Linked DNA regions of Schizosaccharomyces pombe. Changing the gene in region 3 together with the main gene of any one other region gives a genetic interaction. Each region holds a gene or a part of one and is shown on either strand. Other genes may lie near its edges. The genes, in order: ung1, msn5, shr3 and ste6.

Region 1 (6,375 bases), on a different chromosome or scaffold from region 3:
AAATATCGAACACAACGTAATAAGGGCTGTAGGATGAATGAGAGGAAGAATCTTCAAAAATGCTTCTTAAACTTCCGTATGGGATCACTGTTTCCAACACTGGATCCCATGTAACCATTTCTCCATCAAGAATAATTTGTGAAATACGTTTGTCAAATGCTCCAATGATGTATTGTGTCAGCCTAGATTGTTCATCGAAATAACTAGAGCCATAGGCATAAGTGTACGACCTGGCATTTCGACTATAGAATTGGAATTTTCCTGAACTCATGTGTAATTGAATACGCTCCCCGTCTAGCTTTTCTTCAATCCAAAACGGTTTATTTCCCATGGCTTCCAGCGTTTGATGGAGATCCTTTTTTTTGAAATTGGCTAGCTGAGGCTGGAAGCAACTAAAGACTTCCACATCTGTTTCAGTTTCATCAAGAGACCGACTAGGATCATAGAGCTCCCAACAAATTCTCTTTAAGGAGCTACACAGTCGATATAATCGAGCTGCATCAGGATGGAACACAGAAAGTATGAATTTTTCCGATGTTCCGTATTTTCGAACTAAAGAAATAAAAAAGTTAGGTCATAAATAAAGAAATATCATTTCCAACCAACCTTTCAGTAAAATGGGAATTAGCCATCGAAGCTCAAGAGGACTCAAGGATCTATAAAATTGCTCCAAAATATTAACTCGGGTATCCCTTATTAAGGTTAGATACGGTAAAAAATTTAGAACATACTCAGAAGAAGCATCTGCTAATTGATCCAGCAGGGCGTTGACATCACCAACTGTAAAGGCACCAGGAAAGGTCCTGTATGCCCTTCTTTGTAAAATATCTAAATTTTTTTCAGTTAAAATATGATCAGGATCAATTGGAATACAAAAACTATGATGAACACACCCTGCAACATGGTAGAAAAATCTCCAGTATGTTTGGACTCGGATCCTCTCCAATTTTTCAAAGATTTTGCATCTTCAGAAGTAGGACTCAAATGCATAGCCTTGTTAATTAGTCACTGATGTTGCAACTTAATTACTTACTCGAATAAACAGTTTTCCAAGCCCAAATTCCTTGAACCCATATGATCCTCTTTCACGATCCAACTAGAAAATTAGCAATTAGAAATTCAAGACACCGATTAAGACACTTTATGTAATGCGATTTAGTGGTCTAACAATTTTAAGTCGTACATCAGGAAGCACTCCATTAGTTAGTATAAGGAATAAAATACAAATATTAAATTACTTAGTCGAAGTAATGGATAAAGATCTGGTCCTACATGTTGTCGCCATTTATTAAAGTAATCCAAGAGGATTTTGCGCTTTAATTCATAAGGGTCAAGGTTTGATGTTTTGGATTTCCTAGTCTTTCCAATTCTTGATAACGGTTCCAATAATGTTGTAACAAAATCATAGAATTCAAGGGTGCTTGAATGATTTTGAGGTTTCGTAAATACCGTCTCTTTGGCTTCGTCCATATCTTAGGTTTTGGCTTGAAGCAATCGTTTTATAATACAGTTTATGATCAATAATATTTCTCAAATAAATAACCGATAAGAAATAAACATCAATTTAGTCTCATTATCGTGGTAGTGTCAAGTGTGTAGTACGAACACTTCTAATTATCATACATGAAAGCCTGTTCTCTGCAACGATTCGGTGGACAGTATGTTTATGGAGCAGAGAGCTGTTTTCTAATAAGTTAGGTAAAATGACTGTTCTGAATACTACAGATAAGCGTAAAGCTGATGATACCGTTAATAAACTTGACGGGAAATTAAAGCAGCCACGTTTGGATAATTTTTTTAAGACAAACACCTCATCGCCTGCTTTAAAGGATACTCAGGTACTTGATAATAAAGAGAACAACTCTGTCTCAAAGTTCAATAAAGAAAAATGGGCAGAAAATCTTACTCCTGCTCAAAGAAAGCTGTTACAGTAAGTATTGCTTACAATGTAGGCTAGAAAATTGGAAAAGGTTGTTAACCTATTTAGACTAGAAATTGATACTTTGGAGAGTTCTTGGTTTGATGCGTTAAAAGATGAATTTTTAAAGCCATATTTTTTGAATCTGAAAGAGTTTTTGATGAAGGAATGGCAAAGCCAACGTGTATTCCCGCCGAAAGAAGATATCTACTCATGGTCACATCATACTCCACTTCATAAAACCAAGGTCATTCTCTTAGGACAAGATCCTTACCATAACATTGGTCAAGCCCATGGTCTTTGCTTTTCCGTACGTCCAGGAATTCCATGTCCACCAAGTTTGGTCAACATATATAAAGCCATCAAGATCGATTATCCTGATTTTGTTATTCCGAAAACAGGGTACGTTAAAATTATTTAGTCTTTATATTTTTTCTTTCTAAGATTTGGCTTTTTGCTAATGAAGCAGGTATTTAGTTCCTTGGGCTGACCAAGGCATTTTAATGCTCAACGCTAGTTTAACTGTAAGAGCCCATCAAGCTGCTTCTCATTCTGGCAAGGGTTGGGAAACTTTCACTTCTGCTGTCCTGCAAGTTGCGTTGAATCGGAATCGCAAGGGTCTTGTAATTTTAGCATGGGGAACTCCAGCAGCTAAGCGACTTCAAGGTCTTCCTTTGAAAGCACACTATGTACTTAGAAGTGTCCATCCTAGCCCTCTCTCTGCACATCGTGGCTTTTTTGAATGCCACCATTTCAAGAAAACCAATGAGTGGCTCGAAGAGCAGTATGGACCTGAAAAATGCATCAATTGGAGCGCTGTTTCTGAACAAAAAGCAAAAATAAAGTCTAGCGAGTTGGAATCCTCTTCAACTGAGTAGAAAAAGTCAGAAAATAATTGCTCGTTTACTGGATGCTAATAGGTCTAATCAAGCTTTTTATTTTCTTTTGTCATGCTTGCTTTATTATACCACTTGCATGCTTATCTTTATTCTACCTACAATTGGACTTGCTTAATGTGTGTTATTTTTCTATGTCTTTCTTTTCGCAGAGGATTTATTTTTTTTTTGTCTTAACATTTAAATCATTCATTTTAAAGTTTAATATTTATGTCAAATCCATCGTAAACGGCACATTTATTAAAGACTTAATGTAATCAGTGGTAATTTGATTCGTTAGAATAACTCAGTAATTTTCTGGCTTCGATTGAAGTTCGGACAGCAGTTTGGATGCTTCTTAGTTTCCCAATACGTCCTTTTTCTTTTGCCCTGAGATAGTCCAATTCTCTTTTTAATACTTCTGTATCCTGCCTTGCCTTGGCCACCATTTCGTTTGCTTCAGTGAACAGTGAAACCGATAAATCTTCCATTTCTTTCTGACTTTGCTCAAGCAATCCTTCCAACTCTTCTCTTCGTTGAACCTCTCTCGAAAGTTGTTCCTTCAAATGGGTTATTGCTAAAGTATTGGCATTGTTTAATTGTTTATTCGTGCTTTCTTTTAAAGCATTTTCATTCGAATTTTCCTTGTTAGAGATAGAGCTAAAAAGCTTTGAAATTTCTACATGTTAGAAAAAATTGTTTTATATTGTATTGTCATGTTGTCCCTTACGAGAATTGCTCATCATTGTTTCAATTTTTTTTCCTTTCCTATAAAATACTAATTGCTAACTTTTTTTTCAAAAGTACAGTGGTTTAAAGTTGTTTGCTTAGAGAAAATGTCATTTGTTGACACAGTACATATGGCTGTTAACCGTAATATAAATGACAACAAACAGGAGAAAGACTTCGTTAATGTTGAAGAATCATCCGTTTATTATTTTTATCAGTTTGCTTTGTTTCTTTTTTATTTATATTTTTTTGCGTGAATTTTATGAGCAATACATTCAATATACAATTTATGGAACATTGAATCAATTTCACTGAAGAAATAAATTTATTTTATCAATTTCATACAAAAATTTTTTTTACCCAATACAGGAAAGAATTAAGTGAGCCTCATTTCGTTTTTTACAACAAAAATTATCGAACAATAAACGAAAGAAACAAAATGTAACAATTTCTCGGTCCTTGATTTCAAATCAAGATACTTGAGCTATAAAGATGCTTTGAATTTATTATCATATTCTATATGAGCTTCAAGCATATACTTACAATTACAGAGTGCAATTCCTCATTTCATTTTCATGTCCACTGCTATTGTAACCTGCCAAAGTGTAAACAAAACATTCATTCGGGTAGGGTAGGGTTAAAATTGTAAACGAAACACTAATCTAACTAACGAGAGCTTAAAAAAATTGCTGCGAACAATAATAAATAGAAGAGGGTATAAAAACTTACAAGACAATTTTGAACCCTTGAATGCTATAAGTAACGAAAAGAAATAATGGAGGTAAAAATTAATATTTCAAAGGAAATTCGGAAATAACCTTTTCGACGGTCAACATTTAGATTGAGGAGAAGGTTTTTGACATTCACTATCGATGCCATTTCAACTGGTAAGCGCTAAAAACAAGGGTTTACGCAAAATTCTTTTTGTACCTGTGATAAATATTGTATTTCTATTGTAATAGCCAATTTTTTCATCCTATGTATCATGGAAATGTCCGGCGTAATAAACTTACAACCGCGCTGTTCCTAATTTTGTTTCATTGCTACAAAAATTAATCAAAGAAAAAAAATAAACATCCCCAAGCTTCGTAAATTTAGATTTATCGTTTCATTTGCTTGTACCAACAAGCATTCTGGCATTTGCATTATTCATTATGAAATTAATAGTGTATGCAGTGCGAATAACTAAGATAAAAAAAATTAAGAAGAAAAAAAATTAAATTAAATGATCAATTTGTAAGTTTTTCTGTTTTTTGCCATGTACAATCGCATATATTGTTTGTGCACCTTTTTTAAGTTCCTCAACTCTCATATTATTGCGTAGTACAATATTCATCGTTAAAAGAAATTCTCATGATGCGTTACCCTTCCTAGACTATTTCTTTTGTAGCAGCAGCATAAATTTACTCGCTACCAACTACTTTGTATAAAAAGCTTCTTTCTTCCAGTCGTTCTTTCTTTTCAGAAGTTCATAGAAGTAAATGGCTGGAAATAAAAGAAAGAGGAGCAATGCCTCCGAAGGCTCGGATTCCCAAGGGAATGAGAGAATTTCTTCTTTGAGTGCTAACGAGGCAACTCAAGATTTCCCTCGAGGTGGGGCGTCTTCATTGACTCCTTTAGAGTATAAAGAAGCTGTTTTAGAGGCTAAGAAGGACTTTATGGAGTCCGCTTCTGGTACCGCTGAATTGAGTAAAAAAACTCGTCCTAAGAAAAAGGGTAGTAAAAAATCTTCCAAATCCGAATTGGACAACGAAGAAAATTTGAAGGTTCATATTCAAAGCTTAAGATATAAAAATATCACACCCGGCTCTTTAATTTTAGGTCAAATTGCTCAAATAAATACGTTGGACTTGGCCGTCTCATTACCAAACTGTTTGACAGGTTATGTACCTATCACAAATATCTCCGATAAGCTTTCTGATCGTCTGGATAGTATTGACAATCATGCAGAAGATAATGCAGCAACTGAAGAGGAAGACGGTCTTAATCAAATACCGGATTTGATGGATTTGTACAAAGTTGGTCAATGGGTGCGTGTTTCTGTTACAGCCCTTGGCTCGGAAAATACTACAAAAACCGGAAAAAGACACATCGAGCTAAGTCTTAAGCCGCAAGATGCGAACGGTTCTGCTCCTGAGGCTGCGGATTTTGTTGCTGGGTCGATGATACAGGCCGTGGTTTCAAGTATTGAAGATCATGGTATTGTTTTTGATATTGGTATTAATAATTATACTGGTTTTTTATCCAAAAAACACATAAATGATTTCCCTTTTGTTGAAGGCCAAAGTTTATTGTGTTCCGTTATTTCAAAAGAAGATCGAATTTTCCATCTTTCTCTCACTGCGACATCCACTAAGGCGCTTGAGGTTATGCCTTCTGTACAAGCTATTCTTCCTGGTGACTATATAAATGTTTTGGTAACGGACATCAAGGAAAGCGGAGTTATTGCAAAATATATGGGTGTAGTAGATGTCACTAGTGATATTTATCATTCTTCTCCCGTGAAAGGGGAAGATTTAGAAGATAAATTCCAGCTTGCTAAATCTGTTCCTGCTCGCGTTCTTTTTGTGATTCCCGGTGATCCCCCTAAAATTGCAGTATCTTTCTTACCTCACGTGCTTACCTTCAACTTCGCAACTCCCAATACTCCACATCCCGATCAACTAGATATTGGTTTTATCGTCAATGCTGCTAAGGTTACGTATGTATCCTCCTCACTTGGCGTTTTTTGCGATGTTGGTGTACCTGAGATATCCGGATTTGCTCACATTTCACGCCTTTCCGATAAAAAGGTTGCTGGAATTAGTCCCAATTCTGGCCCCTATAAAGTTGATAGCACCCACGAGGCTCGAA
Region 2 (9,776 bases), on a different chromosome or scaffold from region 3:
GTGAAGCTAAATTTTTTTTGTTTAGCCACATTATTAAATCGAAATAGCCACTAACGATATAGGGCATATGCTAAGCTTCATCCATTTGGAATTGAGTCTCTTCATCCAAAGTTGTATCGTAAGAAGCCACTACTTCTGTTGAAGTTTTTGATTTTTCAATAGAAGAGGCCATGTTAGACTTCAGGGTTTGTCCGTTTTCTAAAGTTTCAGATATTGCAGTCAAATTTCCTAAATTTTTAGGTGTAGTTGCTGTAAGCGGTTCCTGGGAAACCTTGTTAAGTGAAGGAGGAGTAGCTTTCTCAGATTCTTGTCGATGACGATCAAAAAATGCAACAAACCTACTGGAGGTGGGTGTTCCATTATAAGAATTGTAGGGTGTAGGATTCCCACTATTCAGGTTTGAAGAAACCTTTGACATAAATCTTGAAGCTGAGGAAGAACTTACTGCTTCATCACCATGGCTCATTTTTCGTTCCAACTCCTCTGGAGTCAAGAGTTCTTGCAAACTGTTGGGAATGAAATCTTCCTCATTAGCGAACTCGTCAGGAATGTCATAATTTACAGAGTCCTCTTGTGAAGTTCCCAAGGAAGAAGCCAGTAAAGATGTCCCCACAGGATTAAAACTTTGAAGTTTCGAGGTGAAAGAATGAGTTCGGTCAGTACTTTTAAGGAACTGTGATGAAAACGTCGAGGGACTAGTACCGAGGGAAGATATAAGATTGGGAACGCTCCGACGACTTGATAGTGGATAAAGGTTCTCAAGCGAACTAGGAGTAGCAGTAAGCGTACTACCATTTATTCCTGGAAACTTCCTACTCTTATTACTTCCGACGCTTGTTGGTACCGAAGGGCTTTTGGTAGGACGTCCAAGATTACCGGTTGCGGTAAAGGTATTCATAGAAAATCCCGGAGCCATAGATGCACTGTAAGAGCGATTTAGTATTGGGGGTTTCAAACCAAGAGACATAGATTCTGGATTGAATATGTTTCTCGTTCTGATTCCGCTGCCAAATGAGGCGGGTGAGATGTGATTGGAGTTAAGATGTGCCTCTGGCGTATGCGGATAGGAAGAACTAGATAGAAATTTGCTTCCAGAAAATGGAGAAGTAGAGCTTTTAACAGATATGGAGCTGAGGCTACGCTTTGCATGTGGTGAACGTACCGTGGAACTTCCATTAGTTGCCTCAACATAGGCAGGAATGGTTTCTATGCCAGTCACATCACTGAAATCCTTAACAGATGCTTTCTTTGAGAGACTATCCCCCACAATAGAATATACGTCTTCTGTAGAAGCGGAGAACGCATTGGCAGCAACAGTCACCTCCGATGGAATAGCTACGTTGGATTCTTCCTTTTTAATTACTAAAGCTTCATCTTTTATTCGATTTTTTTCTTCTGAAGCTGTGGCTGATGCCATAGTAGTCATTGGCAATATTTTGTCATTGTTGGAAATGATGTTAGCCATAGGAGCAGCAGATATGTTTTGAGAGCTTGAGCCCATAGCTGTAGTAGATGGGGCAAAGGCTCTTGTCTTTACTTTTCTTCCATCAGGTAAAACATGTTCCAACGCGCATTTAGAACCAAATTTACAGTTTCCTTTTTGGAAGTATTTACAAATAGTTTTCTCTGTCGCCAATTCTAAATCGTGACTAAATATACAGTTTTTTCCACTTGTACAAGTTCCTTGCCTAAAGAACTTACAAGGAACGTGTTGTAAACCTAACTTTGTTAGTGAATCTGCTCAACTCTCCGTGATCGTCGTCCACAGCCTTCTTACTTTTTGGAGAGGGTCTAGTAAGCGATGTTGCCTCCGAATTAAACTCGCTTAAATGATATTTCTTCATGTCTTCTGAATTTTTAAAGGCATTTTTCTTCGTCATTTTTGATGCATGTATGGGATTGATGTCAAAACACCAGATAGTTGCTCTGAAAACGAAGAAATGAGAGCCGCATTAAAACAGCCTTATAAAAAACTTCAATCAGCTTTTTATAAAAGGCTTCGTTTGCGATATGTAGCTTCTTGAGATATACGATGATGGGGAACCTTGTTAGGTCGAAACTATATTATAATAGTAAGTAAACCTTAGAGCACGCAAATTGGGGTCACAACCTTGGGTGTTGGAAAGAAAGTCTACACTAAACGAAATAGTCAAGTCTATTAATAATATTGTATATATTAAATACTTCTAAGGGGATTTTCTAATGATATCTCGTATTAGTGAAACCTCCGGATGTTGGGGTTGGTGTGGTATTGATAAAGACTGAGCAATGTAAACAAAATAGCTAAAATTCAAAACAGTCAAATTAAGATTTCCAACAACCCCAAAGGTCCCATTATAAATACAGGCGTTTTAGCCGAAAATTACATAGAAAGAAATGAGTGTTTATTAAATAACAAGCAATTAAAAAAAAAAGCATCGTATATTGGCTTATATAAAATTGCCCAGCTTCTACATTGATAGATGTCAATAAACACATGCATGCCATTATATACATCATTAACAATAGTAAATATAAAAGACTAATCATCTCTTTCCCTTTGCAAAGAGATAAAGGACATCTATTTTTTCACCCTTTTTTAAAATCTAAGAAATGTAAGCATTAAACGTTAAATATAAAGTCATAATGATAAATTTAAAAAATCATTCCACAACTTCAAAAATGCTGGATCGGTTAATTCCATAAAATGACCATATGTGCGAATAGTTAACCAGTAACTCATTTCCAAGCAATGCTAATGCTGCTGATTTACAGTACTAAAAGAAATAAAGCTAGGAATTTATTGAACTGAGTAAAACGACTACTCTGAATGAGAAGTCGTGATATCAAATTAATGTGTTCGCGTAAAAAAAACAACAATCTTTGAATGCTTGCCATTCCTTGATTTTATCTTTTATTCAAAGAGATTGGCCAACCCCGTATCTTCGTCTCTTGAGAGTACATCATTTTTTTGCTCGTCTTGCAAGCTAACACTTTTTTCAAACCTTTTCAGCATTTCTTTGGCGCTTACATCAAGGATGGCGGCATTGACAGCTCTACGGTCAGTTCTCGGTACAATTCGACCGGAATTAAGAAGTCTCGTAAGCAAAGCTTTTTGAATTTTTAGCGTGGAGGCTTCACGGAATTTGTTGAAAAATGCTGGAACCAAATTTTCTTGATTGGCAAGGGCCGGAATACTAGCCAGCAACTGAAACGCTGAATCAGTAATTCCTTGCGAGTATGACAAAATAATACAAGCTAATCGAATAAAATCTGACTGCATTGACTCAAAGTAAGGATCATGGATAGCTAGAATGACTGATTGAAACACCTGTTGGCAGATAAACTCTCGTACTAATGAATGAGCCTGCTCAGATACTAAGAGTGGAGTAATCGCCAAAAACGCATTTACTACCAACCCCACAGTCCGAGAGTCATGAATCACCAATAAATGGCATAATGTGCATAATAATGGTTCGCAAATGATAGCGTTATCCAATACATATTCGGAAAGCTTTACAGGACCTTCAACAGTCTCTTTTCCTATTAAGCTTGAAGAAACATTGGACCGAGATTGGGTAGGAGTGATTTGTAAAAATGTTTCGGTAATCAATTTTGCGGTAGCATAAGTTAGATGACGAAGCAAGGACTCTTCAATCATCTCCTCTGACAAATCATCATCCTCTCCTGTCTCCTCAGCATCTTCTTCAACAAGTAATCCGCGATCGTTAATCCGCCGCCACTCACTAACTAGTTTGTGATCTAATTCGGACAGCAAAGCTGGCAGTAAAGGTAAAAGACATTCATCGCGAAGTTCTGCAGGACAATTAACGCAATACGGTTTGATTACAACATTCACCATAGACGTCCATTGATGTAAACTTAACCCAGCTGCATGAGAAAAGAAAGCTGTCAAAAACTGCTTAGACAATCCGGGTACACAAAAAAATGCTTGACCTAGACGCATAAATGAAGCTATAGCATAATAACAGTATTCCCTTAAACGCCTTAAAAAATGACCGAACGAATGTATTAACTTGTTAGCTGAGACGTCCATCTTGTAGGACTCTTCCAAAAATTGATTTTTAGAAATTTGACTTACACCATGCAACCAAAATCTTTCAACAATACTTTTTTGAAGTATCGAAGAATTGTGCATTCCTAGACCACTTATAAATGAAGGCTCATAACAACAATGCAACTGTTCAACTAATTTTAACAAATTTGGAACAACATTTGGCAAGATAACTTGCCATAGGTTCTTTTGCCCTTCAAATTCAGATGGATGTATGTGTTTATTACTACAGGTGGCTTCACAAAATCTCCCCAAACATTTAATCGGCCATAACCATTTACGGCCAGTTTCAAGATTTGATTGATATGAAGCAGCATCAGCATCCAGTTCAAACTGTGTGTAATCAGCATTGTAAGGATACTTTGCTGATAAGTATTCAGCCATTTGAGGAAACCCAATGTGATTCAAAAACTCCATTGGACTGTTAACAGGTGGCTGAACATCAAGCCAAGTCTTGACAACCGGTCCAACTAATTTTTCAAAATATTCATTTTTGACTTCAATATTGACATCAGAAAATTGAGTTATTACAAACAGAAATGTTTTTAACATTACAATTTCAGAGCCCGTTAATGTTGTAGCATTGTCCAATTGATCGATGATAGATTGCAACTGATCAAAGATATTCATCAAAGGGTTCGGCATTAGTTCTCCTAGTCTCACAAGCTCAAAGCAGCATCTACTCCGCATCTCATTAATTTTTTGAACATCGGAAAATCCATACGATGCGGAAGTGTTATCGTATGTGACAGCAGATATAATTTTTTCAAGGACAACACCAAGCAGGGTAGTATTTTCTCTTGCAAGAATGGATGTAAATAACACTAAGACACTGATCAAACGAGTAATCAGCATAGGGTCTTTGAAGTTAATTTCAACAAGCTGTTTGCACCACAAAAACAGATTTTGTAAAATTATTTCATAAGTAGCGGGATCATCAGAAGTGTTTTCGTTCCAACGAGTAACGCCGTGCAAAAACGCTTCTATCGTTGAAAATCCAACATCCATTGTAAGATAAAGAGGACTGGTCTTTGAAAAAAATTCAGTCTGGGATTGAATATCTTCCATATTGCCAAGAACAGTTGACTGAAAACGATTTTGAATCCAGTTTAAGGACTCGATGGGAGTGATGGATACGGTTAATCTAACAATGTCAAACATAAACCTACGAAAGTTACCGCAAAACGAATGCACAGCAGAAACACCTTCCACATCCTCTTGAAGGTATTTAGCAGTAGCAGACTCCGGTATGAGTTCAACAACTGCATCCTCAAAACGAAGTAACCTCTCGGAGGCAATACTTAACAACTCAGGGTAAACGATTTGAAATTTTTCATGTTTGGAAATAATGGGATCCCTCAATGCTAAAACCCAAAAGTGTTGAGATATAGCACTGATTAATAAACTAGGATGTTTCATGATTTCCAATACTAGTAAGGAATAAGTGTCCAGGGATGTGAGTTTAATACATTTCCGTCGATTAGAGTCAAGGTAATTGTATTGGCCCAAAGCAACTATGGTCTCAGACAGTTTTTTTAAAAGAATATATTCGGGAGTTGTAGATGAAAGTGTTTTAATATTTATTGATTCAGATGTGGCAGTGTAAACTTGATGGAGGGTATAGAGACTAGATGGGGACAGCATTTCTTCGACTATTTCCCACAGAGGATCATCAATTTCCATGGTTCTGGTTACACAAATATAAATGCAATCAATAGCGTGTGTTTTTAAAAAGATTGGCCCTTGGACTAAAATTTGACAAATATGTGAAACGATGTTTGCCTCTCGAATGGAATCAGTAGCTACCCAGGACAGGCAGCTTTTGAAACACTTTAAGCATTCTAAAGCATCATCTTGACTTTCTAAAGCGTTGCCCCACCGGATAAGCCAACCCTCATTGTTAGAAGGGATAGTAACGGAATAAGGAAGACCTGAAGGATATAATTTGTGCAGGGTGGAAGAAGAGGATAGGATGCTGATAAGCGCATTAAAAAGAATATGAGAGCGTAAGGATGCAACGGGATCATCATACTGATACAAGTCTTCCATTATACCACGCAAGATGAGGGAAGATAGTTGACGATGCTGAAGGCTTAAAGACCAAAGTGATTGTAGAAAGGAGTCAAATTCTTCTCTCCATGTGTTATACCAGTCTCGTTTTGCAATTTCAATAAATACGGAGGCGAGTTTACTACGCACAAAATGTACGGACAGCAGGTTATTGTCTTCGAGTGATATTTTACATAAAAAGCTAGTGACAGATTCCTTTTCCTTATTCGAGAAACTTTTCCAATTCATTCCAACACTCGTTTCAAAAAGACTAAGAGAGAAATGTTGTACTATATGAATGTCAAGTTTACAGCCGAGTGAGGAAAAAGCCTGCTCATTCAACTCTAAGAGTTGAATGGCGACCGATGGACTGCTGTACGAATCTTTAAGTTCATCTAGTAACTAAAAACGATAATTAGCAAATATTCATGGACCGTTTCCGCAAAGCACCATGGCTATCTCCATTATGACTCATCGCGACTTACCTGCTGGGCAGAGAACCGAGTTTCTCGCGAGCTTTCAGGCGAATGCACCACATTCAGAGCTTGTAAAATATTTGATAAACCTTTTTCATCCATCAAAACCAGTTTATTGAAATCGAGTCACTGAAACTCAAAAACTGTTTACTTCAGGACTCCTTTGTGATGCAAAGAAATTTACAAAGATAATCAAGTAATCACAAGTATTCCAATACTTAGGTAATAAATAATGAATTTTCCTTAATAATAATCTTGAAACGAAGCAAGATCGTAACTGCGTGTTGGGTGTTTCAAGAAACAATCAAGCCAGCATACACCGCATGTGTTTAGCCTGCCATTCATCGATAACGATACATTGCAGTGTGTTATATACATAGTCAACTTTCTTTTCTCGTTTCAACCCCCACTTGGTATTGCAGATGGAGGCTAAATTTCTAATATTCTTTGAATGCAGCAGCATCCATCTCCCGTACACTTCGTTAAAACATTTTTGATTTGGAAAGCAGGAGGGCAATTGTCTTGCTCATTTCATAAAGGCCAAAGCCGAAGTATTTTACCTTTTGCATACATCTGGCTCTTATTTTTCAGTCTTGTTACAGGTGGCCATTTCACGACAAGCTTTACTAAAGATTTCACGATTTACTCGTTTGTTTTGTTTGAGTGGATTCCATCTGCTGTGGCATCTCGTTTGCGGTTTAAACAATTACTTTCCTGCTCGGATTATTTGTAGGTTTTTTGCTTATATAAGGCAATTCGGCAAAAAAACAAGTGGTTTTGCTGATAGACAAGCATTCATTGTATACCTTTCTTGAATATCGGTTAAATAAATTTCGGTGAATAACTAAAGCTAAGATGTCTGACCTATTGGACGATGAATTTTATGAGGAAGAATTTGAAAACGATCTTTTGGATGCTTCTGAATTCGAGGATGAATTTGATGAAGATGCAGAAATCGATGATGATGGGTTCACTGTAGAGAGGAAACGGCGGAGAGCTCACAGCGTGAGCTATAGAGTGGTCAGCGTTCGCGATCTTAGGGCCTCTCTAAATGAGAAGATTAATCAACTTACTAGTATCATTGATTTGACGAGAGAGCAAGTGCTAGGGTTATATCGATATTTCAAATGGAACCGCGAAAGACTGCTAGAGAGGTATATTGATGCTCCAGAGGAATCCCTTCAAAAAGCAGGTGTGGGACTTAGTGGTTCTAAACAGCGGGAAGTTGTTCACCATGAAGGGACTTGTGAGATTTGTTACGATGAAGGTTGTCTCCCATTTTTCAGTGCTGAATGCGATCATGAATTTTGTTTAGCTTGCTATAGACAATATCTTGATTCCCGAATAAGTGAAGGTGAAAGTGTCATTCAATGCCCTGAAGAGAGCTGTACGCAAATTGTATCCATTCAATCCATCACAAAAGTGTTAGACGAAAAGTCACTTGACCGGTATCATCGGCTTCTGGATCGCTCATTCGTTGACGATAATGATCATTTAAGATGGTGTCCAGCTCCGGATTGTGAGTTTGCTATCGAGTGCCATGTTACACAAGCTAGTTTAAGTTCGGTGGTGCCTACAGTAACCTGTAATTGTGGCAAGCAGTTCTGTTTTGGCTGTGGACATGACAACCATCAACCGACAATATGTCCACTGGTAAAAATATGGCTCCAGAAATGCCAAGACGATTCTGAGACGGCCAACTGGATTCATGCCAACACGAAAGAATGCCCAAAATGTTCTACCACTATTGAGAAAAACGGTGGTTGTAATCATATGACTTGTAAGAAATGCAAATACGAATTTTGCTGGGTTTGTCTGGGTCCTTGGACTGAGCATGGGAACAACTGGTACACATGCAATCGATATGAAGAGAAGAGTAGTACAAGCGCTAGGGATTCGCAATCGAAATCTAGAGCCTCATTAGAAAGATACTTACATTACTACAATCGGTTTGCCAATCATGAACAATCGGCTAAATTGGACCATGAGCTATATGAGCATACACACAAACGTATGACTCAAATGCAGGTGGATTCCAATTTATCTTGGGTAGAGGTGCAGTTCCTTAAGAATGCGGTGGATATATTATTCCAATGTAGACAAACCCTTAAATGGACATATGCATTTGCCTATTACCTTGCAAGAAATAACCAAACAGAGATATTCGAGGACAATCAGCGCGATCTTGAGCTAGCTGTTGAAAATCTTAGTGAGCTATGTGAACGTCCTTGTCAAGATTGTTCTCTTAGCGTTTTTAAGCAAAGGGTTCTTGATAAAACAGTTTATGTTCGTAGTAGACGCGACGTCCTTCTGGACGACACGGCTCGTGGTTTGGCAGAAGGCAGATGGGAATATGTTGTTGATGTGTAAATTAAGAAAGAAATTTATGATGATTCAACAGCAACTGTTCCCTAATTTATTTTTACTTCCTTTTTTTTCGACTGGAAGACACTAACCAATCCTACGAATTGAAATGAATTAATTATCATTCATTATTTAATTTACGAATGCATTAATAAAGAAAAAAAGAAAGAAGGAAACTAAAATATATCTCTACAGTACGCAACTTTTTGAGATCTGCGTTTGATCGTCATGTTTATTTATTTCCTCATTTCATTCATATAATAGAATTTCATTTTACTTCTTTTTTGGTTTTTGTTTTTTTTTTCTCTTTTTCCTATAACATCACACAAAAAAAAAAAAAAAAGAAAAGAAAAGATTGAGAGAAAAGTGCAAAGCAATTACTTACTTGTATTACTATATCATATGACGAGCTTGTTAATAACAAACAATTCCATTTATATTCTTCTTCGCAGGTAGTGAAATATCGAGTTGTGAGAATGATTTTCTTATGCTTGTTTTATTGATTTAAATGATTCCAATTTGTCTTTAAATCCTGGGTGTTAATTTACAGTCGTTTCCTGGCCAGGACAGAATAGCGAAGGGTCGAAGATAAGGAAGAAAGAACAATGCGAATGATTTATTGAAGCGAAATCTATCAAGAAAACAAAGCTATCGAATATGTAGTTGCGTATTAGAAAGGGTTCTAAATTACTATTGTTCAGTTGTTTGGGCTAATTTGTTTTTTATTTTTTTTTTCTCTTCTGTGCCTCTGTCTCTTTCAACCCAAGTATGTGTAGACTTACAAATTCCTAATCACTACTGCTACTTTCAATCTCATTACACAATGCGAGTGT
Region 3 (6,490 bases):
CAAAAATAAAGAATCCATTCCTCGCCCACAGCAGTTTCCTTTCGGGAGGGACGCTAAACTTAGTAATTGATTTCCTTGTATCATTTGCTTTGGCAGTAACATTGTTCCAAGCAAGGCGAGCTATAGTCAATAGATTTTCGGGTTGAACTTTAATCGATAAAGGAGAAAGTATGTTTGAATCATCGGAAAACCAGGTTTCGCGTAAAGATTTGAGATAGGCATAAAGCTTGGGAGAGTTGAATTGCAAACATGGTCGCAAAGTTGCTTGAGGAAGCTCATTGGTGAAAGCATGGAAAGATAAATAGGCGTAAAACAAACAATCGAGAGATGTTGGCTTTTCACCGAATATAAATTTTGAATCTGAAATCAGGGACTCAAGCGAACCATATACCTGCCGAGCTAATGACGAAATTCTTATACGACGAGCTTGCGTGCGCAGTAGAGCTTGCCTATGTCTAGTAGCATTAGTCCATTTATGAGAAATAGGCATCCTTGATGCTTCATAAGAGACTTCTTCGTCGCGAATACCAAGTGTTTGAGCCAAGCGTTCTTTTGCTTGCCGTTGCAAAGCATTGGGTGTCAAATAATTATGAGGAAATTTAAGTGCCTTTGACCAAGCAGGTCTTATTGCTTCAACAAAATTTTCCTCATTAACAAAGGCTTCTAATAACCAAAGGTCATTGACGGAACCTTCCAATAAACTGGTGAAGGCCATAACATTGGCCAGCTGTTTCGCATCAAAATTATCCAAATTATAGCCCTTCTGTTTCAAGTATATTAAAATGTTTTTCAAAGATCCAATCCAAACATGACCATCCCACAAAGCTGGTAGCTTATGGGTAGGGCTCATACCTGAATTTGCAGTGCGAAGAATTTCAATTTCGTCCTTTGGGACGGCAAGTGCGCAATAAATTAATGCCGCTAAGCATCCAGGATCCATCGTTGGTTGCCCAAGTCCTGGGCTATAAATGAAAAGTTGCAACATTTTGATCAAAAAATGACCCGAACGAATGAATTGAAAAAGTTACCGTCTACAGTAGGGTTGAGATTAGAGAAACACAGAAGAAAGAAAAAAAAGGTAATAACTAACCAACTAGTCCAACTTACCAAATTCGCTGAAGCTAGTTACAATTATCATTCTGATGCTATGCAGTCAAGTAAGCTATACGAACAAGTAACATTGTTACCTATTTATTAGTTGTTAAAAAGTGAATTAAACATCGATAATTAGCACAATAAATCGATTGAGCATTTGAACTTTGAGATTTTACTTAGTATATTTGTATGGCGCTTCTGCTGTATCTGCAGCGTAAAACCCATCTAAAATGAGACTTTGTTTATGCATCCATAGTATAGAAGAATATACAATCTCACAAAAGCTTCACTTGTGATAATCCTTTTTGCACAATGAGTACATATTTAATTATTAAGAAGTATAAGTGTGCTAAAGACTATTCTAAATCCAAACATAACGAACTATTCCTCTATCGAAAATTCAAGTCAATTTATTTCTTATATAAGACAGTATAAATCTTGTATATATATAATTGTACGTATGAATACACATGTAAGCTTTCCCAGTTACCGTCAATGCAAGTCACTCTTTGCTTTCTAGTTAGACATAAACTTTGCGTCAAAGAGTTGATGACGGACTAGCAACAATAATTAGCAAGATATAAAATAGTTCACTCTATTCCAAAAGTTGTAAAATTAGACCCAAGTGGTTTGTTTACTTGCGCTTTGAAACAGATTCGGTGGAAACAGTTTCTACACTCTGAGTAGTAGCAGACTCGGATTCCAATTTAGCCTTTTCAGCTAATTCTTGCTCCCTCATATCTTCAGCGTATTCGCGCTGCTGGATACTTTGAACATGATATCCGAAAACGTATCCAAGTTGAATAAGAATGACACCAGCAAGAAGAAATTCAACAAGAACATGAGAAGCAGCAAGAACGGACAAGTGCATATTTCGTGGGAATTGAACATAATTCTGTAGCTTAACAACCAACATAGAAGGAGCAACATTAACAATAAACAAAATTAGTGCAGTAAGATAAAGAAGCGTGCTAGAGTAAAAGAACAATTTGTCATCACCTTTAGCGCCAGTGGCTTGAATAAGATGGAAAATCATATTAAGTCCCATGATGGTATATACAGTATATTTTACAATGAAATGGGATCCAGCCACCAAAGTATAGTAAGTTTCAGCAGCATCGAAAGCAGACTCAGGGCCAGGACTCCATAAGGTATTCACATCGGCAACGCTCTAAATGACATTAGTAATTTATGCTAAGAAAATAAAGACTATGAACAAAGTAATCAATTCGAAGTGAAGCTCCAAAAACATAAGAACAACAGAAAAATGAGCAGCGCGGCAAACATTGAGCGGTAAGATGAATGCTCGTATCCGATTATGAAAACTTAAACAGACAAAAAGCTCCTTTTTAGAAACGTTCCTGATAAAATAATTTTCCAGATTTATTTTAACAATGCATGTTTTGTAAAACAAATTCAGAATTCACTCAAAGTACCGACTTATAATTTCTCATATTCTGCTCCCTTTGTCTCCAAAAGCTAAACGAAATTGATATCAAATGAAAGTTGATTTTCAAATGAATAATCTTAGAATAAAATAGAAATTTGATTGGAACATACGCTGTGGAAAAGTAAAGCAAAAATAAAACTAGTTGACATAAGGACTCCATAACGGGCAGCGACCTTCAAGCCCTTTTCATCAGCAAAACGAAATATGGATCTTTTAGCCATCTTGAATAATGATAATAAACTTTTTTTTTGTTAATGAAAATATACGTTAGTGGTAGGTTAATTAAGACTACCTTTTTATACCAAAGTGATACCACTCCGCTTTCGACGGTCTAAAGGATTGTATGAGTATAAGGAAATCGAACGCATTTTCCACTAATATGCATTGTATGCAGAAAAACATCATGAACGGCTATCTAAATCTCACGAATAAGAAAAATCAACCCAAGATAAATCAGTTGGCAAAATTATTTAATATAAAATATAACCAGATATATTTGAGCGACTATTGTATGTCACTATTTATTGTAACTGAATACACAACATCATAGCGTTTTCAAGTTAAGCGAGACTGTAAAGCTTATATCAAAATAAGGGAATTTATTAATTGGCTGTAAATAAAACAAATGAATGCCAATGCCTCGATATGTAAAAATACTAATAAAACTACAGAAACAATATAGAAGAACATACAAAGATCCTTTGTATACTTGAAAAAAAGAAATAATTTCATAAATGAGGTGTTTTTGTCTTCCTAACTATATGTTTCGTCAGTTTTCACAATGGTCGCAAAATCTGTTTCTAAAATGCTCAATTGTTTATTATCCTAGTTCCCTATTAGTAAATTTTTTTCATTTCTAATTCTAAAAACTTTTACCTGAGTTTAAACAAACAATTGAACAATATCCGATCGATTTGTTTATCTAATAGCGCATCGCGTAAAATATTTTAGCGTCTTTAAGAAAACATAAATATCTCTTATCTACAAATAACAGAAAATTACATCAACCTTATAAAATATAAAGCATTCCAGAAAACACACTATTCTCCTTTCACACCTAAACTGGTCTTGCATTCATTTGGTCTCGAAGTTATATCTCATATACATATTTGCAGTCCACTCTGCAAAAAACAAATAATACAAAAAGGGTATACGAGTTGTTAAAGAAAAAGGTCCCTGCTTGCTTTACATACTTGGCCGTGTTAATTAATTCAATATGGTGTCGATTTACGTTCCCTTGATATATATTACCATTTTAATGGGCTCTATGTATGGAGTTTCTCGTTTTGTGCGAAAATCCAAAAATCAGGAATCAAAACCAGTATCAGAAGAATGGTTTGGAGAAAATTATTCTAGAAATATATTTTTCAGTCTTTTGCAGCAGAATCCACCTGCCGAGGATACACTTTTGAAAGCTGCTCTCGTTTTACGGGCTACAGAAGGTCTTCGTCGATTGATGAAGCTTAAAGTATCGAGAATGGCATTGAATAATTTGCTCAACCGCGGCGGCGTTGGTGACGAGCTAATTCGTAAGTTTGGTCGTTTGGAAAAGGAAACTGAATTGGAGTTGATGGATATTGCCAAAACTGCCAATTCATTGCAGCCTGGATGGAATCAGTTTATATTCCAAACTTGCAATGAAATAATTGAAAACGAAAAAATTCACAGCATAATTGATAATATTCCCAAGGACATTGATTCTATTTCGCAACGTTGGCAAACCGAAAAAATTCTGTATGAAGCCGCTGATGAGGAATTGCGTATTCAAGCCCAAAAAGAACTTGGAGTGCTATAAATTGTTTTAAAAAAAGATGTTCGTATGTGCCTTTATTCTTTTTTTCCTGTTTCTTTCTTGCATCTGATGTTTTACGTTTTCTTATCTTTTTCTTTCTTTGAAACTAAAATTCCTATTTTATACAATAATCCTTAGAACTCATTCATAAATCAAATTCAGTAATAGACTCCATAAAGGGGGCTTGCTTTATCACTGTCCTTACCTTTATATTGAAAGTCATACTTTTTTCCTATTCATATTATCTATCATCCTATTCCTACTCCCTTTTTTTTCCAAACCAATAACAAAAATATGGAAAGAAAGAAGGAAAAAGAAAAAAGCACTATTTGAAAACAAGTTATTGGAATTCAAATGTATGTTCTGGCCAAAATGTCTCCGTTAAGAGCTCAGCCTTTATAAGTTGGTCTATAATTTACTCTTCATATTCTTTAATATACTCATTCTCTGTTCCATGAACTATCTTGCACAAAAAAAATTGTACATTACTTGTATGGTAATAATCTGGGTATTTATTTTTTTTATTTGCATGTAGATTGCTGCGTTAGTAAAGAGGAGAGTGGATCAAAATTTTTTTTTTTAAATAGAAATGACTGGTTACCAAAAACTTTGCTGTTGCTTCATTTAAAACGGACTTCAAAAATTATTTTTGTTGTTGTTTGTTGTACGCGTCAACAAGTTCCTTCTGCACATATTTTGGTGCTGGAAGATATTTGAGAAACTCCATGCTAAACTCACCCTTGCCTTTAGTCAAGGCTCGTATATCCGAGGAATAAGAAAACATGCTGTTCAAAGGGACCTCCGCCTGCAACGTAAACTCATCTTCGTCTGTATCGCTATCGACAATAGTCGCCTTACGCTTATCAAGATTACCAATTACACCACCTTGATGTTCAACAGGCGCCGTTATGCTTACGTTCATAATTGGTTCCAAAACCATTGGGTTCGCTTGCAAGAAAGCTGTACGGAAAGCAGAAATGGTGGCTAAACGAAATGCCAATTCAGAGGAATCAACGGGATGATAAGCACCATCTTCTAAAACGAACCTGCAATTTTTTATAGGATGACCAATGAGAAATCCTTTTTTCAATGCTTCGTAAAAAGCTTTTTCACAAGCTGGAATATACTGCGTAGGGACTGTTCCACCGGTAACTTTGTTGATAAATTCACAATCAACAACGTTTCCAGATTCGTCTTCCACACCATCCATGTATTCAATGTACCCTTCTACTTTTGCATATTGACCGGCTCCACCAGATTGTTTTTTGTGCAGGTAGCTGAAAGGTACCTTTTTGGAAAGAGTTTCCCGGAATGCAACTCTTGGTTTACCCGTTTCACAGTCAACCTTGTACTCACGACGCATACGTTCGACATAAACTTCCAAATGAAGTTCACCCATACCACTAATGATGGTTTCTTTCGATTCATTATCCAACTGCACACGAAAAGTGGGATCTTCACGCTGAAAGCGATTCAAAGCCTTAGAAAAACTGGTTGTATCTTTGCTCTTCGGTTTTAAAGAAAGTGAAATTACGGGTTCTGGTACAAACATTGAAGTCATAGTATACGATACGGAACCGTCCGTGAAGGTGTCTCCAGAAGCGCATTCGATACCAAATAACGCACAAATCCCTCCAGCTTCAACCTTTTCGATTTCTTCCATATCATTGGAATGCATACGAACGAGGCGTGAAACTTTTATTTTTTTTGTAGAATTGACATTGTAAATGTAATTACCCCGCTTGAGTGTACCTTGATAAATTCGCAAATAGGTGAGCTGGCCAAACCTTCCCTCCTCGAGTTTGAAAGCAAGAGCGACAAGCGGCTTCTCACTGCTAGGAACAAGGGATACTGGCTTTTCTGAGTCTGCTGCATTCAAAGCTATATTTTCGACCTCAGAAGGGTTGGGTAGGTAGTCGCAAACAGCATCCAAAACAGATTGAACTCCAACATTGGACAAGGCAGAACCCATTAATACAGGTGTAAACTTCCTTGCAAGTGTAGTTCTACGAATAGCTCCCATAAGCTGCTCAGGTGTAGGGTCTTCTTCCATTACGTATATATCAGCAATTTCTTCGTCTAAATCGGCAAGCTTTTCAATTAAAGCTGAGCGCTTTTCTTTTGCTAGTTCAATAAGATTCTCAGGAACCTGC
Region 4 (8,083 bases), on a different chromosome or scaffold from region 3:
ACAGACTAGAAAAACATCAAATTATATATATCTATTAGATTTTTACTCTAGATTTAATTGTAGCTAATATTAAAATCCTATTTTTTTAGAATAAATGAAAATCAGTCATGAGTTGTTGAATTTATGAAATGTCGATCTTTTTTCTAAATATGGAACTACCTTTTTTACAGCAAGGCTGTAACGAATATAGCAATGATTGCAGTGAGAAATCCAGTATAACCTTTCTTTGATCCCTGATGCTATTGAATGAAATGTATGTTTGGTGTGACCAATTTAATAGAGCAGTAGATTTACTAATTGGTTTAGCATCTGAATTTGAATCAAAAATATATGTAAAATGTTAAAAAATACAATTTCAAGTAAAACGATTAGAGCATATGTTAGGGGAGAAGTAGAAGAAACATTTATGCTTCCTTCCATACACTTTTTCACGAAAACTTTAATTTTTGTTGTTGAACCTCATTTGTTGCGAGAATTTAGAAGCTCAATATAATACTTCAGTCCGTCTGTAGGAAGCTCTCCCTCATAATTATTTATTTGGTCGGAAATCTTAGTGAAATATACAGTAGGAAATTGGTTTTGACTTAACAAATTTTGAATCTCGAGTGAATAGAGAAACACCAGTGTTTGGTGAATGTACGATAGGGATTGAGAATCAAGTTCAACATCTTCCATAGCGTCAAACACTTTGAAAACATCCAGAAGGGTATTGGGAGATACAAAGTTTTTTAAACCTTCCTCATTACTATCTTTTACAAGAGAACACTGTTTTTGATAATAATTTAGGATAGCAGTTTTTATATTTAACAGTGGGCATTCTTCCAAAGTATCAAGTATGTAGGAAAGACGGACACTTGGTAACTGAGAATCCAGACATTTTGTGACTATAGCATTGCATGTAACACGCAGCCAAGGAAGTTCTGTCGAAGAAGCCATAAAATGATATCCATGGAGCAAACTGGAGAGATGCTCGAGTTCGGAGTCGGGAACCTGGAAATGAGGTAAATCCAACAAATATCCTTGATACACAGCAATATCTTTGAAACCAACACTATCCAATTGAATCTCCCAAGAGACCAATTGCTGCAAAGTTTCAAGGATAGTAGAGGGAAATTTTTCTTTCAAAAAATCCAGAAAGAAGTTTCCGCTTTGATAGAACGATTTAATTGTTAATAAAGCAAGACATCCTTTCGTGTCAAATTCAATTTCATCCCGCTTATCATCAGCCTTAGTAGAATTGTTATCAACTTCAGCAGGAACATCAGCATTTTTGGCTATTTCTTCGTCTTCTGAGGAAATAGAGGATGACTGACTTACATATGTAGCTTTTGTCAGCTCCTGAGCCATGTGCTCAGTAATGATACTCCAGCTCTCTGGAAGATGGGACAAAAGATAATCGAAGATGTTTATTATGGATTTTGAAAGGGTATCCAACTTGTCACAATTAGTCGTAGCGCCACTTAGTTCTTCACGAAACTCTGCATACTGATCTTTTGTTTGAAGCAGCGAACGGAAAGAAAGCATCAATGTTTCTTTACTTAAAAAGAGTTGAGCTAAAATACTGCAAGCCTTTAAACATGCCAAATAACACTCTGACACTGGAAAGCGATGCATTGCATCTTGTATAGATGATATTGAGATTTTCCAAACACAATACAGTTCATCGCTATCAATTTGCAAAATATTTGCTAACCCCGAAAACAATGAAATTAAAAAATTATTTACAAATAGAACTGGTCGCTTTGTAGATATACGGTGTAAGGCTGATAAAATGGCACTGTTCAGAGATATGAATTGTTGGGGACTTTCAAAGCCTCCATTTATCAAAAGTTCACAACATTTAAGGAACACCTCTCTTGGATTTCCGTTTTTGGCTAAGAAGTCCACAAACTCATCGGCCTCATTTTGTACTTTCCCAACATATGGAAGCACCATTCCTATAATGTCCCAGGAAATTTCGCGTGTTATATGGTCCTAATTGCAACATTATTAGGAGAATTCATATTTAATTACATGAATATTTTTACTTACATTCTTTTCTTGCTTCAATTCTTCATGTAGACACTTAATCAACTCTCGCTGCTCATCAATATCCTTTATTCGCGCTTCTTCCAATATCAATTCGAGTAGCGTTGAGTAGGTAATATAATCTTTGGTTTCAATGGCTACCTTGGCGGCACCTGGAATCGCTTCTTTCCAGTCCATTCTTCTTATGAATATTAAGGTGTGAGGTAAACGGACGAAAGATAATTTACGAGGCAGACTATATCAGAATTAAATGATTTTAAGATTATATTGTTCTACAAAAGATTTGAAAATATTAAAGGAATTCGAAGCAAGCTCATAAAAACTTAAATCACTGTTAACGTTCACGCTTCAAAAAATGCCAGAATCAATTAGCAAGCGTTGTAAGGCTTGATCTTCAGATTCACGTGGTTCTACAGTTAAACTTCTTTGATAGATGTTATTCGTGTTTCGCTCTCTCGATATAACTTCATTAAGAAGCTCTTGAACTTCGTTGATGGGATTAAACATGTACCCAACAGATTGAAACTTTTTTATCTCATTCAAAATTCTAGTGACTTTGGTGCGCTTATCGAAATTGATCATGTTTTGAAAGTTATCTTTATTTCCAGTTTTAAGGAAAGTCAGATCAGTGAAGTAAACACCTAAGAAAGGGACACATGGCAAGACACAGTTCTCCAGACAATCTCTATAATTACTGAAATTTTTCCTTGCCTCTGTCAAATTGTTTAGAAGCTCAAAACTAGCCAATGTTTTACTATTCAAATTTGCCCATGTCTTACGCAGCCGATGAATGGGTGAGGAATTTAACGCAGAAATGATGGAAAATAAACTAGCAAAATTGTTAAGCTCTCTCAAATAATCACAGACCTGAATAAAATATGCTAGCACATTGGTACGTCTGCGAGGTTCTTCTTCTTGCACGATGGTTTCGGTCACAAAGTTAACCAGATGATTCGACAAATAAAAGGTCGAAGTTTTTTCTTTGGGTGAGAATCTGTTAAGATTGTCCCAGATTTTAGTTAGGAACTGAATCCTTGATATGTGTGAAAATGATTGAAACTCTAAGATACATAACTGCTTTGCAATTTCACGAGGAGGTAGAAGTAAAACCAATTCATCCTTATATATAATTGGATCAGGGGAATTATGGAGAGAAAGATCCTCTAATTCTTGGGATAGCTCTTTTCCCTCTAGCATTTTATGTGATCTTTTTGTAGAGGGATGATGAAGTAGGTGTGATAAAGAATGCAATAATTCTTCAGCAGATGCAAAATGTGGAACTACAAAGACTTCAAAAACTTTATAAATTTTAAACAAAAAGAATATTGACTTGGAATTGTCCAACTCTTCAACAAGATACGATTCGAACCAAATAAGAAGTATATCCAAAAACCTCTTACTAACTCGGTAAAATTCGTGAGAAATAAAAGAAATTTTTCCAAAATTTAATGAGCAGATGAACCGAAAATGTGCTCCAAGTATGGAAAATAAATCTGAAGAACTGATCATACTAGCGTATGTGTTTAAAAAGATAGTAGTAAAAAATGTACTATCTATATCTGTCCTTAGAAGGTAATTTATAATGAACACTAAAGTGGCTGTTTTTATTTTTCCATCTTGTTCAATTTTACCATTACATGACCAAAATGAAAACAAAAGGTTTCGGATCAATAATGGCTCTGGTGAAGTCTGTTTCATTAAATAACAAACTAATCCTTTAGAGTCGAACCAGTTGGTTTTATTGAGGTCAAAACCATCAAGTTGGGACTTCTCCGCATCATTCAATTCTGGTTGGATATTTGTGAGGAATTTGTATTCTAGAGAAAGAAACACAATTCTTTCTGAAAATTGAACAATTATTGACTTGATCCGAAGAAGGGATACTTTCAAGGTTACTAGTAAATCAACAAAAAGGGAATAATTGTCCAGTAAACAATCGCTAGGTGAGATTTGCTCCAAGTCGATACTCCACAAATATAAATCACATAAGTTAGAAGACAGTTCATCCTTCAAGGCTTCAACATCTTGAGAAGTGAAAGAAAAAGGGTTATTTTCAGAGGAAGAATAATTTATTCTTTGATTTGCAGACAAGAATCGCCTACAACATTGAATGCATCTATCGATGTCCTCTAGAATATCTAGTTTCCAAGCTTCTAGTGCATCTTCCGCAACTAGCTGTAGTACTTTTTGGGTTGTATTTTCAGTTAGCTTCTGTGCTTCTAAATTCCAAAATTCATTCTCAGTGCAATGGTAAGCTTCGTGTGAAAGTGACAAAATTGCAACAAAGGAAGTAATATCAGGTTGGAGATTTGTATGTGCTGATTGTACAGAATTGGAACAGAGCATATTAAAATCCCATGGCAAGAAATGTATTTCATGCGCTATCAAAGAGCCCAAAAAGTAAGAAGGGAAGGAAACATCGGGCCTGAAGAAAAACAAAAACTTATTAGCCAATTGCTTCAAAAGCTTAGTAAATCTGATGCAAAGTTCACCATAAGTGCAACCCATTCGGCTCAACTCTGGCAATAAATTTAATGAGGAGAACACTTGCGCGACTTCTGAGAGAAAATTTTCATCTAATGTAGAAAGGATTATCAAGGGAAATGAAAGAACCATACTACGAACAGTTTCAATTCCAAAAACGATCACTTGAGTGCCTTCCTTTTTTATAGATTGTGACACAGCGGCAGCGGTGGTGAGAATCCCTTTTACAAGGTGGTGAATGTCATTTTGAAGATTTTTTCTTAAGAACTCTTCTGAAGAAGGGATACTATTTATCGCTTGCACTCCGTGTTTCTCAAACCATGCAGAATCTTGAAGATGAGCCTCTACGTGAAACGGCGCACAACATTGAGCATTTGGGTCTTTCTCATTCGATGAATGAAAACTTGAAAAAAAATTTTGAATTTTTGAAGAATCAATGCACGACGTGGGGAACCAACCTCGTTTTTCTGAGCAAATTCCGTCGCACCAACCGTCCTCGAGCACTTCTATAACTATGATAGTGTCTCCTGCAGAAAATTTTAAAAATGAAGGATTAGAGCTGTTCTCATAATCACTTATTGCGGTCGTTTGAAACCTCATTTTCGTAAGGGTCCATGAATGCTATCAATTCCACGATTCATTTATTTTTGAAAGAAAAGAGGAAATATACCTTCTTAAGTTATTTCAGTATTTTCCTGCTTTTAAAATAAAGAAAACACCCGTTTATTTAAAAAAAAAGCTTGTTTTCCCATTATTAGCCATTTTGGGAATTTCTTTGTTTACTAACAATGGGCTACTACAATAGAAATTACCTGTGAATTTGGCGCGTCGCGTTTTGTCACTACGCAACTGTAATATTACATACAGTATTTCACTAGACTATGTTGTCAATCACTTTCACAATGGACTCACCTAAAACCTGTGGGTATGCGACTATTCCGCAATACAGTAATACTTCGTTGTTTTCACTATTCAACCCTATCCTTCGCTATTCAATAAATACAGAAAGAAAAATGTTCTTCCTGAAAAATAAAACAGATTGTCCTTCTGGTAGCGTTTTTCTAAAAAAAAAAGTTGAATTCTTTTCTATTGATCCAAACTTGATGACTATTGTTAAAGGAATAGACCAGTGAATTTAAAAGCTTTTGCGACTATCCTTGACCGATTCATTTTAGGCAGTAAAAATACGCAAAAAAATTTTATGTATCGCTATATTTAAATACCGTATGTCATGATAGTCGACTCCACTTTATTATAGTGTATTGCAATTATTTCGTTATAGTACCAATATAATACGGCAATTTAATACGCTATACACATCATGCCCACCTATAAACTGCCCATGACATAGGGTTCACCGAATTCACCGACAAGTTCAACAAATGTTTTTTCCCACGGATGTAATCGTGCCAATTGCCATTAACCAGCTTCAATTGAGCTAGTTCTATGAATTGAGCTGTTAGGTGGAATTCTCCAATTATAAAAGATATTGTAGTAGTTCATGAAGTGTTTGAAGCGGATTTTAGTTGGAACTTACAAAAATTAAAGGATAACTCTATCCATAGGTCCTGTTGAGACTTGTTACGTAAAATTAGAAAAGATTGGAAATTGTATTGTAATTTGTGAATTTACCATTGTTTGCCTAATATGACTGCACTATTTAATTTCTGGCGCATTATGTATGCGAATATTTCGTCCATTTGGCTACTGGTGGTTTCATTTTTTGAATGGTTATTTTCCGCTACGTCGATATCGCAGCAGCGTGGTTCCGGCCCTCGAAAGGGAAAGGTAGTTATGAACAAGGATTGTCGTTCTTGGGAGGATTGGAAAGTTTTGGCTACGACGATTGACAAGGCGTCGGGGCGTTGGAAATGGCGCTTTACTCCTGCCTCGGACAAGTACGACTATCTATTGATTGATCGATGCACGGTCTCCTTAAAACGATACCGCCAGAGGAAATCTGTCTATCCCATGTTAATGTTCTTGCGCTCTAGCTTACTTCGTAACTTTGGCAACATTGGCAATTCCTCTCTGTATACCGAGAATTACTCGGGTACAAAAATTTTGATTGAAGAGTATGTACGTGAGGTCAACAATTGTTTAGAGTTTTTATATCACACTAAAAGGCTTTCCTACGACGTTAAGTGCGATTTTTTTTCCGCTGCCCGAATTTCCTTCGGTACTACCTGTTTGTATTTCAACGGCGGCACTGCGTTTGGTCTATATCACTTTGGGGTAGCTAAGACCCTTTGGAAACGTAATTTGCTTCCTCAAATCCTTGCAGGATGCGCATCAGGTGCGTTGATTGCATCGCTTTTGAGTGTCTATCGTGATGAAGAATTGAATGGTTTGTTTGATACTTTCCCCAGCGAACTGTGGAAAATATGTCAGCAAACATCTGACTATTCTCTTTCAAAAGTTGTGGAGTATGGGAATATGCTTGACATTTCCATGATAGCATCTTTTGTCCGTCAAAGACTCGGTACTATTACCTTTCAAGAGGCTTTTGAGCGTACTGGACGTATTGTTAACATCGTTGCTCCACCTTCAGCTGTTTCTGGATCCCCTCAGGTTCTTAATTATTTCACTGCCCCTAATGTGCTGATCTGGAGTGCCGTATGTTCTAGCAATAGCTGGGCTGCCATTTACCGCTCTTCTCCTCTTTTGGCTAAACTTCCCGATGGGTCTACCGAGGTGTGTACTCCCAAAAATTTTATTTGGCCGTATGCTGGGCTTCCTAATACCGGTCGCTCTAATCCTTATGCACGAATCTCTGAGATTTTCAACGTGAATCATTTTGTTATTACCCAGTCTCGCCCTTCGTTGTTCCCTACATTTTATGATGAACTTCATCATCATCGTGTTTCAGGATACTCCTTAAAAATGATACGCTTAGTAGGATTAGAAATGGCTTACCGTTTCCGCCAACTGGATATTTTGGGTCTTCTACCTCCAAGACTACGTCGATTTTTTGTTGACGATTATGTTCCAAGTGCGTATATCACGCTTACTCCAACATTTTCTTTCTCGGACATAAAGCATGCATTTACCAAGCCCTCATTAAGCGACATCCAGTATTGGATTCTAGTAGGTGAAAGGGCCACATGGCAAGCTATACCACTTTTACAAGTTCGCTGTAAAACTGAAATTTCTTTACGACATCGTATGTGGAAGCCGATTCTTTTTTGAGTTTTGTTACTTGCTAACCTAACAGTTTCAAAAAACCTTACCAACAGTTACGTTGAACCTTTGTCCGTTAATAATCTGGCATCGCCCTTTGTCACTAATTTAGAAGAAAACCAAGAAAAGATGCTGAAAATTTTTAAAGTAAAATAGACGGATTTTTTAAAAAAAAAAGCATTTGTTTATAATCTTGTCCCTTAAGGATTGGTCATGCGTTAATGTTAATTTTATTAGTTTTAGTTACTTTGGTTAATTTACATTTTATTATATATTTACTACTCATAGGAAAACAAAATACTGACGTTCATTCTATTTTTTTAAATTTCTAAGAAATTTCAAATCTATTTCTCAAAGTATAATTAGCGATAACGCTCCGCTCTTTAACGAT

The links.
Region 1: mutations in shr3 (region 3) and ung1 together harm fitness less than expected from each alone (positive genetic interaction), as found in Schizosaccharomyces pombe (one large-scale study listed by BioGRID).
Region 2: mutations in shr3 (region 3) and msn5 together harm fitness more than expected from each alone (negative genetic interaction), as found in Schizosaccharomyces pombe (one large-scale study listed by BioGRID).
Region 4: mutations in shr3 (region 3) and ste6 together harm fitness more than expected from each alone (negative genetic interaction), as found in Schizosaccharomyces pombe (one large-scale study listed by BioGRID).

The regions. Positions count from the first base shown.
Region 1 is NC_003421.2:601,334-607,708, forward strand, and holds ung1 (uracil DNA N-glycosylase Ung1), read left to right. Parts: upstream 1-1,640; 5' UTR 1,641-1,703; coding exon 1,704-1,930; intron 1,931-1,987; coding exon 1,988-2,320; intron 2,321-2,387; coding exon 2,388-2,796; 3' UTR 2,797-3,071; downstream 3,072-6,375. Other genes in the region: DNA repair ligase Lig4, read right to left, coding at 1-552, 607-692, 732-828, 894-993, 1,034-1,096, 1,184-1,194, 1,239-1,470; protein Spo13, read right to left, coding at 3,072-3,472, 3,524-3,539; U3 snoRNP-associated protein Rrp5, read left to right, coding at 5,004-6,375. UniProt on the Schizosaccharomyces pombe protein: Excises uracil residues from the DNA which can arise as a result of misincorporation of dUMP residues by DNA polymerase or due to deamination of cytosine.
Region 2 is NC_003424.3:3,468,127-3,477,902, forward strand, and holds msn5 (karyopherin), read right to left. Parts: upstream 6,875-9,776; 5' UTR 6,682-6,874; coding exon 6,589-6,681; intron 6,506-6,588; coding exon 2,894-6,505; 3' UTR 2,387-2,893; downstream 1-2,386. Other genes in the region: zinc finger protein Cps3 , read right to left, coding at 71-1,719, 1,778-1,880; dbl4 (ubiquitin-protein ligase ), read left to right, coding at 7,435-8,949.
Region 3 is NC_003423.3:1,173,100-1,179,589, forward strand, and holds shr3 (chaperone protein Shr3), read right to left. Parts: upstream 2,815-6,490; 5' UTR 2,767-2,814; coding exon 2,656-2,766; intron 2,267-2,655; coding exon 1,730-2,266; 3' UTR 1,381-1,729; downstream 1-1,380. Other genes in the region: mtx1 (metaxin 1), read right to left, coding at 1-985; translocation subcomplex subunit Sec66, read left to right, coding at 3,762-4,340; mef1 (mitochondrial translation elongation factor G), read right to left, coding at 4,981-6,490. UniProt on the Schizosaccharomyces pombe protein: Involved in amino acid permease processing and required for the efficient translocation of structurally related amino acid permeases from the endoplasmic reticulum to the plasma membrane.
Region 4 is NC_003421.2:1,763,115-1,771,197, reverse strand, and holds ste6 (RasGEF Ste6), read right to left. Parts: upstream 5,113-8,083; coding exon 2,377-5,112; 3' UTR 2,227-2,376; downstream 1-2,226. Other genes in the region: ubiquitin-protein transferase inhibitor Glm2, read right to left, coding at 460-1,974, 2,032-2,205; triacylglycerol lipase Ptl1, read left to right, coding at 6,160-7,675, 7,727-7,848.